4 linked regions of the Schizosaccharomyces pombe genome follow. The protein of the gene in region 4 binds, or shares a complex with, the protein of the main gene of each other region. Each region holds a gene or a part of one and is shown on either strand. Other genes may lie near its edges. The genes, in order: rpa2, rpa12, rpa49 and rpa43.

Region 1 (8,166 bases), 2.0 Mb from region 4:
CAGATAGGAGCTGCGACAGAAGGCGTAGAAGCTGACTTGTCGGTGAATGCTGAGCCCGATGTGAAGCCTATAGCGAAAATGCTGTCAGCTTGTGTAGGAAGTGTAATTACAACGCTGACTGTAACGCCTTTAGATGTTGTGAAAACCCGCTTGCAGAGTGAATCTATTTCTCAATATTCTTCTACGCAACCCATTTCTTCAGCAAAGATATTGGGGAAGGGAAGGCCAGCTCCAAAGCCTTTAGGAGGCCCGGTATCCGGACTTTATCAGATCGCTCGGCATGAAGGTGTTAGAAGCTTGTGGCGTGGATTAGTTCCTTCATTGACAATGCTCTTGCCAGCAAACACTGTACAGTTTCTTGGGTATGAGCAATTACTTCCCTTATACAGTGATTGGGGCTTTCCTGCTGCTGCTGCAATCGCAGGAGCATCTGCGCGCACAATATCTGCTACTATTGTGTCTCCTATAGAATTATTCAGGACTCGAGTGCAAGCAGTAGGCGGCCATTATCCGCCCGGCCATGCGCGCGAGATTGCTAATGAGGTCTTTGATGGATTGAAATTAATGATTCATCAAAAAGGTATACTGAATTTATGGAGCGGTGTCAGCGTAACGTTGTGGAGAGATGTACCATTCAGTGCATTTTACTGGTGGTCGTATGAGAGAATTCGACTCTTCCTGCTTGGGCATCCATCACTTCAAGCATTTTCCAGCTCTCAATCTACAAAGGACCTCTATATCAATTTTGTGAGCGGAGGAATTAGTGGGACTCTAGCAACCCTATTAACTCAACCTTTCGATGTATCAAAAACTGCTAAGCAGGTGCATGGACATACGTTAACCAGAGGTCAGTTTATGTTAACCTTATGGAAGCGAGGTGGTCCCAAGGCCTTGTGGAAAGGCACGTTGCCTAGATGTGTTAAAGTTGCACCGTCCTGTGCAATCATGATTTCAAGTTATCATTTAACTAAAAAGTACTTTTCTGAGTCTGTTGATGCTTATTAATTTAGACGTTGATTTTCAGGTTTTGGTTGGCTTGATGAAACCTTTGTTCTTTTTTTTTCGGTTTAATGTTTTCATCTCTTTTCTTACAGGATTCCATTTATGTTGATAATTCCCCTCTCGCAACTCCATTTCTATTTGTAGTCTATATGTTTACTATAATACAGGATTCAAAAATGCAAATCGAAAGAGTCTTGAAAGTAAAATAGGTTGGGTTAATTTACGAAGCGTAGAAACTAAAAATTAATATTTTTTAATTTCTGATATTAGTCTCTAAAATAAAGCCATAGTAGAACAAGCTTGCTATGTTTTTACCAGACATTGAAGCTAATGCTTTCATTATATACCCATTGTTGTTCTTTTTAAAAGCTTTTTCAATGGTTGAGGATACATATATTTTATTCAATGTTTTTCTTTTCCGTTATTGAAAAGCAGAAACAGCTCGGGCCAAAAAGTTTAGATCTTTGAAGAAAGCGATTTTTAAAGTGGGAGCTTTTGTTATCCGTTTATTTTATATGAATTGACTAGACTAGAATCGTATATAACGAAATTATTTCTAAAATAAATATTGAAAGTGATAAAAAAAAGCCCTTTAACAAGATTTTTTTTAAGATACTAAGACAAAGCAAATTAAATATTTATTAGGTTTCATTCAACTGATCGGTGATATGAACTGTAACAGGGCAATGGTTACTTGTGTTTAAGCTTTTCTTCTTGAATTTACTGAGATAAGCAACAAGTAAGGACTTGCAGGAGACATTCTAAAATATCAATAAACAAATTCTTTATAGCTTCAATTGCGGTATAAATCAAATATTAGTAGCGTCGATCACCAACTTATCTGTCAGCGTACAGTGAGTACACTTTCGATAACACTTTACCTTTTCTATTACTCTTCAAAGACAATGGATAGTCGTTCATTAATAAAATCAAGCAAGAACACTACCCAAAAAGCGATTTACTATTAGAATTGAATTAGGCAGTGGAATGAACAACGCTATACTATTGCATATTCCGCACTTCAGCGCCTTAATGTTTAAACCATTTTACCGCTTTTCATTAAAGCTTGTTAAGTGTTCGCTTAACGCTCAATTTAGTATGAATATAGCAGGTGTCCTCCGCCAAAATTTTCTCTGCAAACCTGGGATGTCATTCCAAACGTTAGAGCGAGAAAGGACGTTTAAAAATCCGCCCAAGGACGGAACGAGCTTTCCAGATTTGCAAAAGGCCGTAAAACCTCATGTTGATTCCTTTAACGCCCTTACTAATGCCGGACTACTCAACTATGCTGTTAAGGAAATTGGTGAGAAATGTGCATTTGACTCGATCACACAAGAAGAAGGTGGTGCATTGAAATTTGGAAATAAGATTTCCTTCCGCGTTGATGAGGTTCAAATTGCGAAGCCAATGTTGTCTAGTCGTGAAAGGTCTTCTATTAACCGCAAAGTCTACCCTGCTGAAGCCAGAGAGCGTTTGACTACTTATAAATCAAGATTGGTTCTTAAATTCTCATGGAGTGTCAATGGAGGCCCTAGACAATCAGAAATGCGTGAAGTAGGCATGATTCCCATCATGGTACGGTCCAACAGATGTCATCTGGAAGGATTGTCTCCTGCCGAACTTATTGCTCATAAAGAGGAGAGCGAAGAGATGGGCGGTTACTTTATCGTTAACGGTATTGAGAAGTTGATTCGTATGTTAATTTTACCTAAGCGCAATCATCCTACTGCCATCATTCGCCCTTCTTTTGCCAATCGTGGTACTAGCTACTCACAGTATGGTTTATCTATTCGTTGTGTCCGTCCAGACCAGTCTAGTTTAACCAACACCCTTCATTATCTTAACAATGGTGTTACGATGTTTCGTTTTCACTGGCGTAAAAACGAATATTTAATTCCTTCGATGATGATTCTTAAGGCCCTGTTAGAAACCAGCGATAAAGAAATTTTTGAGGGCATTGTTGGTAAAGATTTGGGAAATACTTTCTTGACGGATCGTGTTGAGCTTATGCTTAGAGCTTATAAGTCCTATGGTCTTTACTCCCAAACTGAAACACTTCAGTATTTGGGTAGCAAATTTCGTGTTGTTCTCGGCGTTGCTGAAGACCTAACTGATGTTGAAGTTGGCCGCTTTCTCTTACAAAAGGTTGTTTTAGTTCACCTTCGTGAAGCTAAGGATAAATTCCGCCTTCTCCTATTTATGATCCGCAAGTTATATGCACTTGTAGCTGGAGAGTGCTGTGCCGATAACCCTGACTCTCCACAACATCAGGAAATTTTATTAGGTGGTTTTCTTTATGGTCAAATTCTTAAGGAGAAGATTGAGGATTGGCTAAATAGCATCCGCGCTCAAATTAATTTGGATGTTCGACGCTCAGCGCCTGGTGTTGATTTCTCCGATCGTAAATACTTGACCCGTGTCTTTTCTAAAATTAACAATGACATCGGAACGAAATTACAATATTTCTTGAGTACCGGTAACCTTGTTTCCAATACTGGTCTTGATTTACAACAAGCTACAGGTTACACTGTTGTCGCCGAGAAGTTGAACTTCTACCGCTTTCTTTCACATTTTCGAATGGTACACCGTGGTGCATTTTTTGCTGAGCTTAAAACTACTACTGTCCGTAAATTGCTTCCTGAAGCTTGGGGTTTCATGTGTCCAGTTCACACACCCGATGGTTCTCCATGTGGTCTTTTAAACCATTTGGCTAGAAAATGTGAAATTGTCACCCATCCTTCTGATGTAAGTCAAATCCCATCACTTTTGCTATCGTTGGGTGTTGATCCTCCAAGTGTAGTTGGTCATGAATCTGGTTGGGGATGCGTACAATTGGATGGAAAGATTGTTGGTTGGTGTACTTACAAACTTGCTAAGCACGTTGCTGATGTGCTACGTTTAATGAAAATTGAATATGCTGTCAAGTTGCGTAATGGAACTGCCACTGAACCTGCTAAGGTCCCTTTAGATTTGGAAATTGGATATGTGCCTCCGTCTCATAACGGGCAATATCCAGGTCTTTATCTGTTTAGCAATCCTGCAAGGATGGTTCGACCGGTTAAGCACATTTCTACTGGTGAACTTGATATGCTTGGTCCATTTGAGCAAGTTTACATGGATATTGCATGTTTCCCTAAAGAAATCGTTCCTAAAGTTTCTACTCATGTAGAGTATTCGCCCACAAATGTACTCTCCATCGTTGCCAATATGACTCCATTCTCAGACTTTAACCAGTCTCCTCGTAACATGTATCAATGTCAGATGGGTAAACAAACTATGGGTACGCCTGGTACGGCCCTTCGTTATCGTACTGACAACAAACTTTATCGTCTTCAAACAGGACAAACACCAGTTGTTCGTCCTAAGCTTCACAATACCTATGGCCTCGATCATTATCCAAATGGTACAAACGCTGTTGTTGCCGTTATCTCATACACTGGTTACGATATGGAAGATGCTATGATTTTGAATAAATCTGCTCATGAGCGTGGTTTTGGTTATGGTACTGTATATAAGGGTGAATCTTTTGACCTTTCCCAAAAGCGTCGCAGAGGTGAACCAGTCGTTCACCATTTTGGTTTTGCTCCCGGTTCAACGCCTCGTCGCGAATGGTTGCAAAAGTTAGACGCCGACGGGTTACCTTTTATTGGAATTAAACTTGAGGATGGAGATCCCATTGTCGCTTACTATGATGAATCTACTGGTCAAAATTTTATTGAAACCTATCACGGTACTGAGCCTGGTTTTGTTGACGAAGTTAGACTCCTTGGTAATGATGTTGGTGATTCCGAGTGTCAGCAAATTCATGTTAAGCTTCGTATTACCCGTAGTCCGATTATTGGTGACAAATTTTCCTCTAGACATGGACAAAAGGGTATTTGTTCACAAAAGTGGCCCACTGTCGATATGCCGTTTACAGAAAGCGGAATGCAACCTGATATCATTATTAATCCTCATGCGTTCCCCTCTCGTATGACAATTGGTATGTTTATTGAAAGTTTAGCTGGTAAAGCTGGCGCCTGCCATGGCTTGGCTCAAGACAGCACACCCTTTATCTATTCTGAGCAGCAAACTGCTGCTGACTACTTTGGCGAACAATTGGTTAAGGCTGGTTACAACTATCATGGAAACGAGCCTATGTATAGTGGTATCACAGGACAGGAGATGAAGGCTGATATTTATATTGGAGTTGTCTACTATCAACGTCTTCGCCATATGGTTAGTGATAAATTTCAAGTACGTACAACCGGACCCATTCATAATCTTACTCGTCAACCCGTCAAAGGTCGCAAACGTGCTGGTGGTATTCGTTTCGGTGAAATGGAACGTGATGCTGTTATCGGTCATGGCACATCGTTCTTGATGCAGGATCGTTTAATGAATTGTTCTGATTATGCCCAGAGCTGGGTTTGTCGAGATTGTGGGTCTATTATTTCTATCATGTCTACAATTTCGATGAATGGCGTAGGAAGTGCCTCAGAAGTCAGGTGCAGAAGCTGTGCCAAACCCGCTTTGGGATTGGAAGATACCAGTGACATTTGGCAGGATGGTAGCGGAAAGAAATTTGTCGGCGGCACAAATACTACGTTGATCGCATTACCCAGTGTTTTCAATTACTTGACGGCGGAACTTACTGCTATGAATATTAAAATGATGCTTGAAGTTAAATAGATTAAAGTGTTGAAAAGAGTATTGAAATTAATATATTCGCTTTCAACTTCTTTAAAAAAAATTTTTTTAAAAGGACTGACAAAATGCCATGGGTGATGTGTGTATTTTCAGTTCCATTTGATTCTGTTTTCTTTCGCAACAGGTTTCTGATTTTTGCTTCGGATTACGTTTTGCATATAAAATTACTTATTGTTTTGGGGGAAGAGTTAATAAAAAAACTTATATAGAAAACTATAAAGGTAGGTCTAGGTGGACTAATAATAAATTGATTGATTTTTATCTTTTTGATTAAGAAGCGGCTAAGACATAATTGACAAGAAAAAGTTTATTATTAGATGTCTTTTTGCTTTAAATTGTATTATATATTGGTTAATAGATACTTGATACCAAAGAGTGATCGAATGTTCAAAGAAGCAGATTAATCAGAGGTTGAGATCTGATGCAAATTCGTGAGCACACATTCGTATGGAGAAAAGAGAATTGATATCTTATAATTTTAAGAACAGCTCAACTACAGAAAATCTATGCACTCAATTATAAAAAATACCTATTCGCATGGTTCACATTTAAGAGCAGCATAATGACGAATTACAGAAACCCACGCTAAATTGTATTTTGTGCTTCATTATACTATATTAGATAACCGATATTTAGTATAGTGTGTAAGCTACGCAGTTTGGTATCTGATTTAAGGATACGTAGAACTGCGGTGAGTTTTCCTTGTGATCTATTATATTACAATACACAGGTTGTATGAGTAGCAACTGAGTATAGGTATTGTATTAACTGGGTTATAATGTTACCTATCACTAATATAGCTCATAACTGAACTGAGGAACGAGGTTCGGCTGTAACGCTATTTCGGCAACCGATATTAATAGACTTCATATAACAATAAATATACATTGTTAGTTAACATACTGCATACCGCTATATTGTAAGTCGTAAGAGAAACTCACCGTAATTCTATGTATCGTTAAATATATACCAAACTGCGTAGCTGACTATAGCAAAAAACTCAAAAAATCACTAAATGAATTTGTTTATTAGGAGCATAATAATTATCTTTTCAACTATTGTGGATTTCTTGTACAATTGTTTTTTTTTGTGCTATGAGCCCAATCTTTCATATGAATGCTTATTTTTGAAAACCTAGTTTACTTGACGCGTCTATTAAAAGCTTGAAAATTAGCGACATTCTCGTTGCATGAATGCTTAAAGAATGCACACTTTTCTAAATGAAAGTCTTATTTTTAATTAATTAAACCAACTAAATAAAATAGGAAAGAGTGATGGGTATTTTTAAGAAAAGCCGTTGGCGACCTATTTCATGATCTCAACGATGCGTCTTGTCCAAGTGCCAACGACAACTTTTGCCTGAGAATCTTATCACGTAGACAAACTGTACTGCTGGTAAGATGACTAGCGCATTTTATGGCGGAGATGAAGTTTCAGCTATTGTAATTGATCCTGGAAGCAAATGGACTCGAATAGGTTTTTCTGGAGAAGATATTCCCAAATGCGTACTCCCTAGCTACTGTGGAGAGTTCAGTGATGGCAGACGGTTGTTCGGTGAGGAATACATATATAAATCAAACCCTGGAATGGAAATAAAAAATGCAATTCGTAATGGTTGGGTTGAAAATTGGGATGTTACTGTAGATCTCTGGCGTTATGGATTAGAGCAGCAGTTGAAGACTAATCCTTTAGAGCATCCAATCTTGATTACGGAACCATTTGATAATCCCCCAGAAAATCGAGTGAAAACACTAGAAACGATGTTTGAATCTTTGCGTTGTCCTGCAACATACCTCGCCAAGCAGGAGACGTGTGCGGCGTTTGCAAGCGGGAAAGGTACTGCTTGTTTAGTAGACATTGGTGCGGAGCGTAGCTCGGTGTCTGCTATATATGATGGTTTTGTGCTTCAAAAAGGCTATCAGGTTCAACATTTTTCTGGGAATGCAATTAACGATATTTTGGCGCAAACTCTCAGGGATAAGAATTTCGAAGTGATGCCTAAGTACTTAGTGAAAAGCAAAAATCCAGTGGAGATAGGGCAGCCAGCTAATTGTGAGTTACGTCCTCGTGATACTACAGATTCTTATCATCAATTTCAGGTCCAGCGAGTCTACGATGAATGGAAAGAAGAATGTGCTCTCATTTCCGATGTTCCATTTTCATCTGAAACCACGATTGCTGAATCAGAGTTCGAATTTCCAGACGGTTCCCGTATGATGTTTGGCGCGGAACGCTATCAAATTCCTGAACATTTGTTTGTGCCAGGAAGTGATGAAGAAATGAACGAGGAACCTTCGAAGCCAATAGAACAAACCGAAAATAATGAGGTATCACAACAAGATTCTTCGGTTACCAACACTTCTTCTCGCATTTTGGGGATACCTCAGTTGTTCCAGAACTGTATTTCGGAATGCGATGTTGATATCCGTGCTTCTTTGCTCAACAATGTTATTGTTTGTGGAGGCACTAGTTTGA
Region 2 (3,024 bases), on a different chromosome or scaffold from region 4:
TACGCATTTTCTAATAAAATTCTGCGATAAACTTCTGATATTTCAGCAATCTTTTGTTCAATTTCCTCTGTTTCAAGGACTACCGAATCAAATGACTTTCGAAGTTTTAAATATTTTCGTTTAAAGGATTTAACAGACGCCATATGTGAAAAGGCAGGTGAGAATATATTTCAAATGGTTGAACACCTACCTGCCCATTTGGGCTCTTGAGTGTTACGGTACATAGTACGCTCCATTTCGTTACACATTCATTTCCATATTAGAGAAAAAGAAATAAATAACCGATATACTACTATTCATAAAATGCTGATAAACATTGAAACTCAAACTCTTTAAAAATTCTGAGAAAGGAAGTATCCACAGGTTCAATCGTGATAGACAATGAATTTTCTCTATTTAGTTTGAACCAGGAAAGACAATAATGAATAAAGGAATAAGTTATACCATATTATTTTTTAAACAAAAAGTAACCCCGAAAAATAGAACCAACAAGAACAGAAGAACTGTTATTTTTTTTAACACCTGGATAAAATAGAAGACAAAACAAGAAAATCGGATATCAAGAGCATCTCTTTCTATTTCATGAACGTTGCCGTATTACTAGACAAATAAAATTTATCGAGCATGAAAATAACGGAAGCAGAAGGACAATCGAAGATATTAAAAACAATAGTCTTCATACAAATCAGTCAGCATACATACATGAAGAACGGCGTAAGAAACAGTGAAATATTGAGAAAATCACAACCAAAAGAATGATTAACAGATGAAAACTCAATCTAATTGTTTGTACTAAATTTATAAGCACATCGAGGACATTCGTAAAACACCGTAGAACCTTCATCAGCAGACCTCAATTGCAAAGTATGGAAAGTCATATGGTCGTTTCCACATTTTGGACATTTTTCCTCAATCTACAAAACTTTGTTAGTATGGCAATAAACCCAAAAAAGGACTATGATAAAGTCCTTTGCCTGACTGTGCCGATTTTTCAATTCACTGGATATATGATACAAAAAAGTTCCTTGATTAGACTCTCCTAATGCATTCTTAAAAAAAAAAAAGTTTTCCAAATGATACAAAGCCTAAAAGGAAAGAAGAATGACAACCAACATGAAAAAAAGGATTCGAAAAGAATAGACAAAAATAAGTTACATACCGTTGCTGCCTCCTCCTTCTGAGATTCTACTTGAACGATACTGTGCTTGAGTTTTAAAGCAGAAGGAAAAGCACTTGCACTACTCTTCGTTTCCACTACCAAATTGGCAAATTGCTCAGAAGGATAAACGGATTGACACTGATCACAAGTAGTCCATTGGGCAGTAGTCGATTCCAACAAGTTACCGCATTCTGAGCAAAATATCAAAGACCCTATTGCCGACATTGGGATTCCTCCTTGCTTGATGGGGAAGGCACTGGTGTTTATGACAAGCTAGTTTGTCTTTGACAAGTGCAATTTTCTTTCGCTGTAACTCATTATTTTGCGGTAAGTGATGGAAAAGCGAGTGTATCATTATCGTAAAAGCCAATACACACTGTGAGCGACTATGATCAGTATAGTGCCTTAATTAGTAAACAATAAGCTAGAGATGAGTAAACGAATTTCCTGATCTATTGATGAACATTATGCTAAAGGCATAAATTACAGACATTTAAAAATCATTCGTTTTTGTAAAGAAATTACTTATTGATAAATCAACCTTGGAATTCCAAGTTGGGGAATTTAAAAAGCTTTCTCGGGAAATTTCACCTATATAAGTATTGTATCGTTGTTTCTGGAAAAAATTCGGTAAGAAAAATTTCTTTGTATTTTTTCAAGCATCAACTAATTGTTTGAAGCTATTTCTTGCTACTTTAAAATTTTGTTGCCCAAACGATTTTTGTCTAGCTGGGCAATACTTTGTTCAAATACAAAGCCTGTCACGGAATACAGAACAAGATTTGTGTACATATATACTAGCGACTTTCAAAATCGTTGTACCTTATAAATTGTGCTTTTGATTATTTAACAAATTCTTCCTTATCTCAAAAGAAAATTATTTTGCTTGATTGAATCATCAATTTGGAAATCATATTTTGCACTTTAGGTATTTTAATCGTAATTTATGTGATAAGCTTGGAAATAATAAAAAATATAAGAATAATAAAAATTTAATTTGTCTGTACGTTGCAACTATTACATGTACAACAGAAAAGCGAACAGATAAATAACAAAATGCAAAAAAAATACTACTAAATAAAAGAAAAAACAAATAAATTCAAAAGATATAGCATTAATAAGAAAAGAGATCACCAAAAAAAAAAGAATCATATTCACGATTTCAATAAAAAGGTCTGTGTATTTTCTACAAAGGATTTGGCATTATACTTACTATTATGTGTTTTCCACTACTTGAGCGTTTCAAATCCATTATGGTTTTGAAAGCGCCTTTGTCTATAACCGCCATAACCCAGTCCATCTGTATAGGGCTCGCTTCCGTATTCCTATATTATGCAATGTAAGGTTGATTTTCTATTTTGGTAAAACAGAGATGAATATGGCATGTTTTTACTAGTGAGATTATTGTGCTGTACCCGACGATTGACAACAGTGGGACTTGTTTGCTCTAGTTATTTAGAAGCAAAAATTTTTTTCCTCATATCTCTCTCTCTTTCTGGGGTAGTCCTTTTTGGAAGAGTGCAACGTGACATAGTCTATGGGATTGTAGGCAACAAAAATGTATAGGAAGAGTTATTGTTGCTACATAATGGAAATTACTTAGTGAGTACCATATCTTGTCGGTGAAAATGGATATTTACTTTGCCGATCATTGCGTAGCTCGGTTTTTGCCAAGGAAAGAAACAAGTAAACCAGTTTGGTAAAGAAAAAGGATGATAAAAAAGGTTAGAGATTTTAAGCGTATCTAAATAAAGGTAAGATACTTTAAAAGTACGTTAAAATCTGTGTCTTGTAAAATTTCCATTTGTAGAATTGTTGCATAAGGATGGAGTACCACTGCTTTAGTATAGTTATACGTAACCATG
Region 3 (5,839 bases), on a different chromosome or scaffold from region 4:
TGGTTTAGAGAATTCAGCCTTTGAAGGGTTTTCTGTGAGTCGTAAATTGAAGTAGACACCAACTACATTGGTAACCTCAGTTCAGGGTGCTCTTGCATATAATGAAGAATAGCATTATGTGCAAAAATGTATACCGTGCAAGACTACACTACTTTAATATACACTTCGTTGCGTATCACTATATGTGATATGTTGGAATATCAGTTGAGATCTGGTTATTAATAATTATGGGTAACTATCCGCTAACTAAATAAATTTTATTAAAAACACCCTTTAGAACAATTATAAATAGAGGTACAGCTGAATCTCGTTCCTCAGTTTAGTTAAAGCTATATTAATGATAGGTAACAATAGATCGTACATAAAATATTATATATGTCCTCGGTTGCTACTTGTATTACCTGCTTTTTGCAATATTGCAATATAATAGATCATAAAGCTCATTGCAGTTCTACACATCGTTAAAATTAAATAACAAACTGCGTAGTTAGTATTTATGTGTGTTAAAGTATTGTGACACGTTCTGCTAACACTTTCAAGTTTACTACTTGCATTGAACATTGCTTGTCTTCTCTAAATTATTTGTACATAATAATCCATCCGAGCTTTGTGCTTTACATTAAGAGCAGCTTCACTACTTCTTCTTTTAAAACTTTGCTTCGATGGTTGCTAAACAAGAATCGGTGGTTGCACCTCAAGTTGATGTGTCAAAATGGAGTGGGAAGGAATTGGAGTTGGGCAAAAAGGTTAATGAATACGCCAAGTCATTAGCTACGTTTAAATATCCTTTTTTTATTCCACCTCCCTATCCTCCTGCTAAGCCAAATATGGCCTTGTCTACCCAAGTTAATAAGATGAAGCAAACTGCAAACGAGGCATTTAAACGCAAAAAGTATGAGGAGGCAAAAAAGTTATATGGATTAGCATTACAACTCGCTTTGAATCGCTGTACTTGGGAACCGTCGATTCTTACGCGTGAAGAAGCAAGTGTTATGTTGTGTAATCGGGCGGCTGCTGAGATTGCCCTTTCCCAATTCCCCGAAGCTTTAGCAGATGCAAATGCTGCTTTGAAAATTCGAAATAATTATGGAAAGTGTTATTATAGGAAAGCAAAGGCTTTGGAGGCAATGCATCGCATAGAAGAGGCTAAACAGGTTGTACGAGACGGTTTAATTTTGGCAGAGCCAGTTACGAGAAACGAGTTGGTGGCTTTATGGGCAAGTTATACTGAAAAAGATTAAAACCAACTGTATCATGGTTTCAAATGATCATTGGATTTGCACGCTCCTTTTATTTCCTTTCTTTGTGTTGTTTCATATTACCATAAACACTTACGGCCACATAATTAATCCATTTCAAAATTAATACTAACTTGATATTATTGCCAATTCATTTAATGCTCAGGTGATTGTAGCAATTACTGTATACAAAAGACCATCCCCTAGCACATCATAAATACGGTGGTTTTGAACATGAATCTAAGTTTCGATTGTCATTTGTTACCCTATAGTCAAACAACAATGTTATAACTTTCCAAAGGATTTATTGAGTAAAACGGTAACTTTTTTGCTTGAAAGTTAGTTACCATCTAAGTCACCCTTCTTTGCCTTATAGCAAAAGTATTATACAATGCAAAATTTTATTATTTTCTGTACTTCCACTATAATAAAAAAACACCTTTAATCCCGTATTCCCATAAGAAGTTTCTGAAAATTTGTTGGTACTTTATTTGGATATCTCAATGTCGCTTTGACGTCCAAAACAATTATAAGCAGTGGAGATATCGAACATCACGAACTTCAGTAGTTGTTTCTTCTATATATACCGTCCTTCTTTTTTTTTAAAAAAACACACACACATTTTTTTGAAAATAAACAACGCTGTACTTTTCTCTAATTTCTAGCGCGTCCACGTCGAGGTTTAGGGAACTCTAGGGGAATTTTTAATACTGCACGCTTATGATTTTTAGCATCAGTTTTGTTAAGACCTAAAGCCATTCTTTGAGTTTCGGTGTAAGCCATAATTCGACAACCCACCGTTCTAAAAAGCTCATTAGCCTTCATGGTCTTGACATTCAAGTCATTTGCCAAGGTAAGAACATCAGTTGAGTAATTATCAACGATTAAGCACAATACCAGAATATAACATATGATTTTATCAACTTCTCGAGATGATACTTGGACGCTACCAATACCGGTGGTTTGAGTAAAACGTTTAATCAACCCATCAATAAGAATCTCTGGTGGATCAGCCAATTTTTTACGTAAAGTTTCACGGTTGCCCACAGAACGACGAGAAAACAAAAAAGCTTGCAAAAGAGAAATGTAATACAAAATTCTCGCCCGCTTCTGGTCAACCTCCTCAATGGAAAGTAATCGCTGGAAGCGTTCATTAATAAACAAGGAGTGACGGTACGGCAATAATTTGGCCCAATTGCGCTCGTCAGGGTTTTCTAACAGAGGCTTAATGTAAATAGCTGAAAACTCTTCTTTGGGAATAATGTCCTCCAATTTGTATGCATCTTCAATGGATTCAGCACCGACATTGACAGGAGGAATAGGGCGATCTTGCGCTTGAGCAGCAGCGATATCTTCTTGCGTTGGAAGTGCTTCAGTAGCTTTTTGAACATTACTAACCAATTGATCCTTGACATCTCCCAAAGTTTCAGCTTTGACACGATTGGCGGACTCTTCCATAATAGCTTTTTGACTTTTTCTTGTACCAAATGCCAAACCCAAGTTGGCACGCTGTTCCATAACAGTACCGCTTACAGTTCCATGCTTCTTTTTCAAAAATTTGTCCTTCTCCTGAAGTGCCAAAATATTTCTTTCAAAAGTATTAAGATACTTTGCTGGAACAATCTTTTTTACACGACCAGTTTTATCAGCAACAGCTAAACAGTAATTTGCCTCAACCGTAGCCGTTGATTGATTTTTAGCCTCAAATTGAACACGCTCTGTCCTTCCAATTAACGACGCATCTCTGTTGCTCTGATTGCTCTTTTTGAGAAGCTGGAACCGGGTATTTTCGGGTGGATAAAATCCGGAAATTGTCGTGACAAGTGGTGGTAAACTCGATTCACTCAAAGGCAATATCTTAACGGATTTTTCATCACCGGAATGGGAATCTCTATATTTCCGCTTCTTGCCCTTTAACTCGTCACCTGCCATTCCAATAGTGGATGCTGTTGGTAAAAATGCTAGCGCTTAAAGAGCTTTGCTTGTTTGACGAAGTGTAGTGTACAGTCACAGAGGCTGCGAAATCTAACTTAACGAAGTTTGAGGATCAGTCATTAAATGAAAAGAATTAAAGAAACTGAATATTACAAATCGTAGAGTACACTTTAAAATAAAAAAAAATGATTATTAATTTACTGTAAAGGACTAACAAATTTGTCACTTTGAAAAAGAAGGAGTAAAGGTGACTAAGTAATTCCTAGAACGCAATGAAAACATTACAGCAGAGACATTATTGTCTATAAAAACAAATCAGAAGAGCCATGGGTAGATTATTTCCAGCGGAATAATGAAATAAACATCAAATGAAAAATACATAGCAATACCAAGTATGTGCATAATGCAGAGAAAATGAATTAGGAGACTTTTTAAACTCAATAATCCCTAGAAAAATACCACCCAAATATATTAACGGTCTAAAGTGCAGAAAATTTTTAAACTAGAAACACGAATTTTAGAAGCTGTTAATCATAGGATCTGCGTCTAATTCAGGATGAGTCTCTTCTCCGGATTCATCGCCATTTTTGTTACGAGGATAAAATAAAACGTCTGCAGATACTAATAAGAGAGGTTAGTAAATACTATATTCTGTTTTCAAATTTTGCTTCAGGCTTCAACTTGGACCATTGCAATGTTGCGTACCATGTCGCAGGCTCATTTTCGCTTGAGATCCTTCATTTCCAGCTGGGACGGAACGCCAAACAGCATCGGCCTCCACATAAACACGCGTTCCCTTCCTTAAAATAGTTTGAAGTCTGTCGAAATTGTAACTATCGAAAACATAAACCGAGTGAAAGGTAGGGGCTACGTCTTTTCCATTATTGGAAGCTACAGTATAACGCATATATTCGTTTCCTTTTTGAGACTGCAAACGCTCAACGTCTTTTGTTAAATTGCCAGTCAATGTCAAACGTTGAATATCTCTATAACGAACAGTCGATGAAGAAAACAGTCGTTTGGAAAATGCTCTGCTGGATTTTAAGAATAGCATGTTTTTAGTACCTTGAGCTCACAGGAAAGCAATTAATGGAGTCTTATTGTGTGGTGTTGTGGATGAGTGAAGTGCGCATACGTCGCATATACGAAGCGAAAAGTACTTGGAGAAGTGTGTGAATTGATAAAACCAAAGTTAGGGTAGAATTTGCTTTTAATTAGCTACATAGTAAAGAGTCTGAATATATTTCTACCCAAAATGAGCCATTTCCATGAGGTACTTTAGGTTTCTAATAAGTTTACGATACATTATGCTAGCATTTACAAATCAATGGAAGTAATACGAATTTTCTAATCTATGATCGTATATGATAAAAGTAATATCGGATTCATACTAATTCATACTAACAGTCATTGGATGCATGTTTGGTATATAAGCTGACATAAATTGAGTTTCGTAAATTCTATCATACTAGCATATCTAGGGATAGCAGAGGAAATAAATAATAAAATGCATTCTCTGCTCTTACAAGACGATCATTTAACATATTATAAAGGGGAAACGCATGGGTTCCAATCCGAATGATAATCCTCATCCAAGTTGTAGAGCTTCTCCATATCCTCTTTAGATATTTCGAAATCGAAAACGTCGCCATTCTCTTTGATCCTCCTGGGAGTAGAACTCTTGGGAAGTACAATGAATCCACGCTGTAGACAGTATCTAATCATGATTTGAGCCTCAGACTTGTTATACTTGCTAGCAATGGCGAGAAGTTGCTTGTTGCCAAACTTTTCACCATGAACAAGAGGAGCGTAGGCAGCAAGTTGGATACCCTTGGATTCACAGTAATCGACGACTTTTTGTTGGGAGCAAAAAGGGTGAAGTTCGATTTGATTGACACATGGTATAATCTTTGGATGGCTGTCCAACAATTCCTGGATGTGATGAGGACCAAAGTTGGAAACGCCGATAGCACGAAGTTTTCCCTCTTCAACACCTTTCTCCAACGCCTTCCATGATTCAATACGATCACCATAGGGAGAGTGAAGAAGAAACAGATCAATATAGCCAAGGCCACATGCCTTAACACTGGCATCAATACTGCTCAAAGTAGATTTGTACCCACTTAAATCATTAAGCTTGCTAGTGAACCAAATATCCTCTCGTTTCGTACCAGTCTCTTCCATGAACTTAAGGATGGCTCTTCCACAGTCAGCCTCGTTGTGATACATCTGAGCCGAATCGATGTGTCGATATCCGCATTGAAGGGCAGCATACACCGAATCGAAGCATTTTGTACGATTCACCATGTAAGAACCGTAAGCAAATTGAGGGCACTTAAGTCCATTGTTTAACTTAACAAATGATCCCAACATAATGTATGAACAAAAAAATAAAATTAAATTAAAAGAAAAAAGTCAAAAATTAATGAACGAGGAAATTGATAATTATTCAATTAAGCAATCAACGAGATTCAGCAAAATTGAATATAACCAAGCTGTTTTTCAATGCTATTGAGTATTTTTGAAATATTCAATATTTTCAACTACCAAAGAAAAGAACGTTATAAATTCTTTTCACTAAAATGGTATTGCTAACCCGACATGCGAACAACACAGTACTATTTATACCATGAAAAACTTCTGATATAACATTAATGAGTGGTAAT
Region 4 (5,041 bases):
GTACGTCTCCATATTTAACAATTATTAATATTGATATATTAGATTTCTTGAAACTATCGTGTAAACAGTTTCTCAAATGAATTAAAAATAAAATAGGTGTAGGTTAAGATTAAATGGTTACGTTGGGAATCGAATACCCATAACAGGTAGTCATATTAATTAAGGCGTGTGTAGAGAGGAATCTACTAAAGCGAAAGAAAAATACAATGTTAAAAGGAATGAATATTAATTAGATAGTGTACAGTTATTATTCCTATGATTCATCAAACCATTTAGTCAATTCTTCTGATAATTCGTCAAATTCGTTTTTCCAGTATAGTAAGCTAGAACCAGATTCTTCATAAACATCACGTACAATGTAACCGTCCATCTCAGCTTGATAAAGTCTTTCTAACGTTACACCAATGGACCAATGCAACCTCATTGCACATTTCAAAGCCGTAGTGCTAGGATTCATAACTTCCAATATAGCGGACAAAAGTTTTCCTGAATGATTAGAAGTTTTTAATTGAAAAAGGATAAGCCCAGAGTTCATTTTGGACGTTGTTATACCAACCTCCATGGAATCTATTAGTTCACAAGCCTTCACAAATCTGGTCGGAGGAATCAGGTTTGCTTTTCTTGACCGATTATAGATGGCCCAAGCCTGGGTCATGGTAACCGTATCGGTATCAGCTTTTAACCTTGTGCGTAAAACTTCTGAGATACTTTTACATAGTTCAATATCATACAATCGAGAATTAGCCGAAACAGGAACATTATCTAAATGATTTCCTCGTAACACTCCTAACTGATTCGATTTGTTTAAAAGCTGCTGTACCTTGTCAGACTGTTGAGTGCCGGTCAGCCCATCCATCTTTTCAGCAAATTGGTCAGCCAGAGACATAGTATCTTTCGCTAAAGAAAAAAAAGCATCTAAATCTTGAAACGCATGTACTAAGGTACGTCCATTTTTGGCTAATTGCATCTCATGAGATTGCTCAAGATCATGAATACCACCCATTCGCAAAGACTTTTCAAGGATGGCCTTCCTCAGAACTTTAGTATCATATTTATTCGAGTATCTTTGTTTTTCTATTTCATCTGTTTCAGATTTGATAGCTTCGTAAAACTTGGATGAACCCGAGCCTCTAAACGAGAGTTGTATAAGCTGGTTTCTATCGACATTTTTTAATTGATTGCCGCAAATTTCACAAGTATTCAGATCCGGATAATTTTGAAAAGTACACGCGGTGCATAATCCTTGAGAAAAACGCGCATCTGATTTCGGCTTTATAATAGTAAATCGGTTAGCAACTCCACAGTTTCTACAAGGATTAATGGGATCACCCACATTGATAAATGTACAAATTTTGCAAGCCCATGACTTTTCCACATGTCGCAGAGAAAGGCGAATTTTTGGGGAGGAGCGAAAATACCTAGAGGTATGCTGTACATCTCTTATATCGGAGATTTTAATTTTTAATGAATTCTTTTTAGGATCTACTGAATCTACGTAGAAGATGTGTTTTTTTGTCAAATATAATGTTCCATTATTATGACGAAAACTTTTCTCATCTCCGAAGTATAAACCTACCTGGTCTTGAACTAGCAAAATTTCTTCTGAAGGATCCAAAACCGGTAGATTAGAAGGGGTTGTTTCTAAATAAAAGGCCATATTAGAAGGAGAGATTAACCAAAATGATAATTGTCAAGTGAATTAAAACTTATATAACATGTCATGTGCCTTGGTTAACTAGTCGAGACCAACAATTGATTTGAGATAATCTGTGAGTACGACTTTCGCTTTATTTAGCTACCTTTAAAAAAAATATTTTTGGATGACAGCTGTGAATGTCGATATATAAATAACATAAATGAAGCCTGTCAAAAGCTCGATTTAATATGTTACAATAAAAAAATCAAACCGTAGTCTTAATAAAAAACAACCCAAGGATCACAAACTAGCGATAAAAGATGCAACAGTGCCAGAATAACTTTTGTAAATGCAGTGAAATAAGTCGTGGAACGTTAAAAGGTCCCAGAAAAATAACTTGTCAAGATTTAACCTGAATTTGGAAAAAGCCTTTAAGGAATTAAAAGACTTTGATTTACAGATATAGACTTAGCAGTCAATATATAATGTCAACGAATTCATCAAAGATACACTGTATATTGAATTACCCACGAACTTTGATTGTCGAGCTCCAAAAATTGGATGCACTAGTGTATTGTGTTATTTAAAATAGTGAATCACTATATGCTTCGTATCTTTGACCAAGAGTTTACCTCTCAGCAGTAGTCATCGAAGCCATCATATTCCTATTTGCTCGAAAATGAGTGATTTTTATGTTCGATACTAGTATGCAAAAAAGCTGTAAATAGTTTTGAATGCTAACTGACTGAAGCTCGGGACACCATGGTCGATTCGGACACGAGTTCTTGGGTACGCGATAATATTAGACGCAAGGTCGCGCAGCTAACCAAACATTTGCTAGAATTCGATTATCATAGTGATGGGCTAGGTATGAATAGAGTCAACAATTTTCTGATTCATATTAGCAACAGTGGTTTGACATGAATACTAATTCAATTAGCTAGATACGCAAACAATTCTAACTATCGGAACGATTCGTTAATCCGAAAGGAGAGTATGTTTTAGTACTACATTTCTGTTCGATCGTATTAACAAAGCCTTAAAGTGTTCGTCAGTGAGCTTGTTTTAAAAGAAGTTCAACGTATTGTAGATGACAGTGAGATCATAAAGCAAGTCATTTCTTTCAATTTTTTATACTAACTACTATTTAGAGAATCAGATGAAAGTTGGCCACCTGAAAATAAAGATGGTAAGCAGGAACTTGAAATTCGTATGAATGGAAAACACATCATGTTTGAAGTAAGATTGCTCTTCATTTGGCATAAATATATTCATTCTAGATACTTTTAAGCTAATATAAACTACTAGACCTGTAAACTTGGAAGTTTGGCAGACGTTCAAAATAGTGATGATCCAGAAGGGCTAAAAGTTTTCTACTACCTAATTCAAGATTTAAAAGCATTGTGCTTTAGTCTCATCTCCCTAAATTTTAAGCTCCGACCTGTTAAAAACTAGATGCATTCCATTTTCTTATATATTAGGGCGAAAAAGTTTTATGTGAAACATTGGTTTACTATTTGGGTTTGATTACCTTTGTTTCGTTTCTAAATGTACAGTCTCAAAGCTGAAAAACGTTCGAGCTTTAGGAAGGAATTTCAGTTTTTATGCTAAATTAACCGTATTGCACTTTTAATTCCATATCATAAGCGGTTAAGAATTGACTATTTATTTGGGAACATCTTAGAATATGGCAACCATTCCATGGTAGTCGCGTTACAAAATCTTTTTTTCAATAAGATATCAAAAAAATCTTGAAATAATTTTAGCTATATTAAATAGACACTATTTGTATAGTAATGAGCGATTCACTTATTTTGTCTCAATAATATTCTTCATTTAAATAAGAGAAAAAAAAGGTAAAGTATTTCTTATTGTAATTAAAAAAAAAATTTCAATGTCTTGAGCACTGTAGTGACATGGTGTCATTTACAGAATTGGCATTTCTATTGATGCCATAGTATCGCCTATTTAGCTGTTAACCTTTCTCGAAGACATGATATGTTATATATGACCTTGGTTGATCAATTGAAGAGCTTTGTTTACCCTTGAACATATCTGTAAAACTGGATGCAGTCGATGAAGGAAATTTGCGTTCCGCCAACATGCCGGATTTATCACTCTACAAACAGACTGTAGATTTATACCTTTCCATTGCTCCTGGACACAGCAGGGATCCTTTAAATGCTATTCAGGAGCATATGGATAGTATGATTCTTAGCAAACTCCCAAGAATCAATGGAATAGTGTTGGCGTACGACAATATTCGATTCCTGGAAAAAAGTGCAAAGGTCATGTATGACTCCCCATTCTCCTTTATATGGGTCCGTGTAGACGTTTTAGTATTTTCTCCCAAAAAAGGCGATTGTTTAGGTATGAAATGCTTAGAAATTCGAGATTCTATGATGGATTTGTATCATGATAATTCAGTCGTGCAAAATTTTATACCAACTCCAAAATAAATGCTAACTATCACTAGAAGGAAAAATTAATTTAGTCAGTCCAAGTCATATTGGTCTATTAATTTTGGGTATTTTTAATGCATCTATTCCGCGAAAATCTATACCTAAAGATTGGATTTTTATTGAGCCCGATACTACGGAAGAACAAGGTCGTTGGAAGACAAATGATGGAAATATTCTGGAGCCTGGTAAAGATTTGGAGTTTGTAGTAGATGGGTATGTCGTAAACTATATACTGTTTTAACTAAAGTTTGATTAAATTATGACTAACAGTTAATCTAGTATACAAAGAGAAGCTGGGTTGACTATGGTTCAAGGGACGCTAGCAAATTCATAATAAGTATTTATATTCAAAATACAAAAGGATTGGTTACTTATGATTATGGATATTTGCCTAAGAAATTCCGGTTTATAGAATCGCGCTAAAACTAAACAGTAAGTTATTTTGAAGCGGTGTGTATGTACTTTCAATTGTATGATTTTATAAAAGTAGGCAATTGTTGATTTAAGCTTAAGGAATGAAATGAATGATAATTCATAGTTATCTTTTTTCTAGACTTTTGATTTCATCTAGTGATACTCTCATTTTCAATTTGTTGCATATAGACATTGAATGCTTTCCACAACCCAAGCGTTTGGAACTATTTATTTATAAATTCGACAGTTTAATATAACTTATGGACAGCCAGTTAGCCTGCAATTTATTGACAAAATAATTGGTTAAAATCTTCAAAAAGCACTATTTGATTTAATACGTCAGGTGAAGGATTAATATCTTCTTTAAATAAATCGAGATCTACTTATAACACATCAATGCTTAGACAAATAAGCTTAAGTTTTATTACCACGTTTGTTTTTCTGTATTTTAATAATAACATCAATAATAAAATTTTTTCAATTATCTCAAATTGATCATTAAGCAATATGAATTAATTTGATCACTTTA

The links.
Region 1: rpa43 (region 4) and rpa2 share a complex: the UniProt entries of both Schizosaccharomyces pombe proteins name them as parts of the RNA polymerase I (Pol I) complex.
Region 2: rpa43 (region 4) and rpa12 share a complex: the UniProt entries of both Schizosaccharomyces pombe proteins name them as parts of the RNA polymerase I (Pol I) complex.
Region 3: rpa43 (region 4) and rpa49 share a complex: the UniProt entries of both Schizosaccharomyces pombe proteins name them as parts of the RNA polymerase I (Pol I) complex.

What each region holds. Positions count from the first base shown.
Region 1 is NC_003423.3:2,005,971-2,014,136, forward strand, and holds rpa2 (DNA-directed RNA polymerase I complex subunit Rpa2), read left to right. Parts: upstream 1-2,115; 5' UTR 2,116-2,148; coding exon 2,149-5,673; 3' UTR 5,674-5,985; downstream 5,986-8,166. Other genes in the region: mtm1 (Mn(2+) ion transporter), read left to right, coding at 1-1,005; alp5 (Ino80, NuA4 and Swr1 complex actin-like protein Arp4), read left to right, coding at 7,092-8,166. UniProt on the Schizosaccharomyces pombe protein: DNA-dependent RNA polymerase catalyzes the transcription of DNA into RNA using the four ribonucleoside triphosphates as substrates. Second largest core component of RNA polymerase I which synthesizes ribosomal RNA precursors.
Region 2 is NC_003421.2:1,038,493-1,041,516, reverse strand, and holds rpa12 (DNA-directed RNA polymerase complex I TFIIS subunit Rpa12), read right to left. Parts: upstream 1,418-3,024; 5' UTR 1,385-1,417; coding exon 1,160-1,384; exon of another isoform or gene 915-1,159; coding exon 780-914; 3' UTR 501-779; downstream 1-500. Other genes in the region: Ino80 complex subunit Iec3, read right to left, coding at 4-143. UniProt on the Schizosaccharomyces pombe protein: DNA-dependent RNA polymerase catalyzes the transcription of DNA into RNA using the four ribonucleoside triphosphates as substrates. Component of RNA polymerase I which synthesizes ribosomal RNA precursors. Required for growth at higher temperatures.
Region 3 is NC_003424.3:3,924,091-3,929,929, forward strand, and holds rpa49 (DNA-directed RNA polymerase I complex subunit Rpa49), read right to left. Parts: upstream 3,190-5,839; 5' UTR 3,171-3,189; coding exon 1,893-3,170; 3' UTR 1,443-1,892; downstream 1-1,442. Other genes in the region: sec67 (translocation subcomplex subunit Sec72), read left to right, coding at 663-1,241; single-strand DNA-binding protein Rim1, read right to left, coding at 3,691-3,794, 3,879-4,227; SPOM_SPAC2F3.05C (xylose and arabinose reductase), read right to left, coding at 4,719-5,546. UniProt on the Schizosaccharomyces pombe protein: DNA-dependent RNA polymerase catalyzes the transcription of DNA into RNA using the four ribonucleoside triphosphates as substrates. Component of RNA polymerase I which synthesizes ribosomal RNA precursors.
Region 4 is NC_003423.3:3,999,928-4,004,968, reverse strand, and holds rpa43 (DNA-directed RNA polymerase I complex subunit Rpa43), read left to right. Parts: upstream 1-3,725; 5' UTR 3,726-3,738; coding exon 3,739-4,006; exon of another isoform or gene 4,007-4,112; coding exon 4,113-4,311; exon of another isoform or gene 4,312-4,377; coding exon 4,378-4,432; 3' UTR 4,433-4,502; downstream 4,503-5,041. Other genes in the region: SNARE protein Vti1, read right to left, coding at 1-12; ESCRT II complex subunit Vps36, read right to left, coding at 254-1,657; mnh1 (protein mago nashi), read left to right, coding at 2,316-2,341, 2,388-2,425, 2,478-2,504, 2,577-2,630, 2,682-2,745, 2,788-2,875, 2,945-3,091. UniProt on the Schizosaccharomyces pombe protein: DNA-dependent RNA polymerase catalyzes the transcription of DNA into RNA using the four ribonucleoside triphosphates as substrates. Component of RNA polymerase I which synthesizes ribosomal RNA precursors.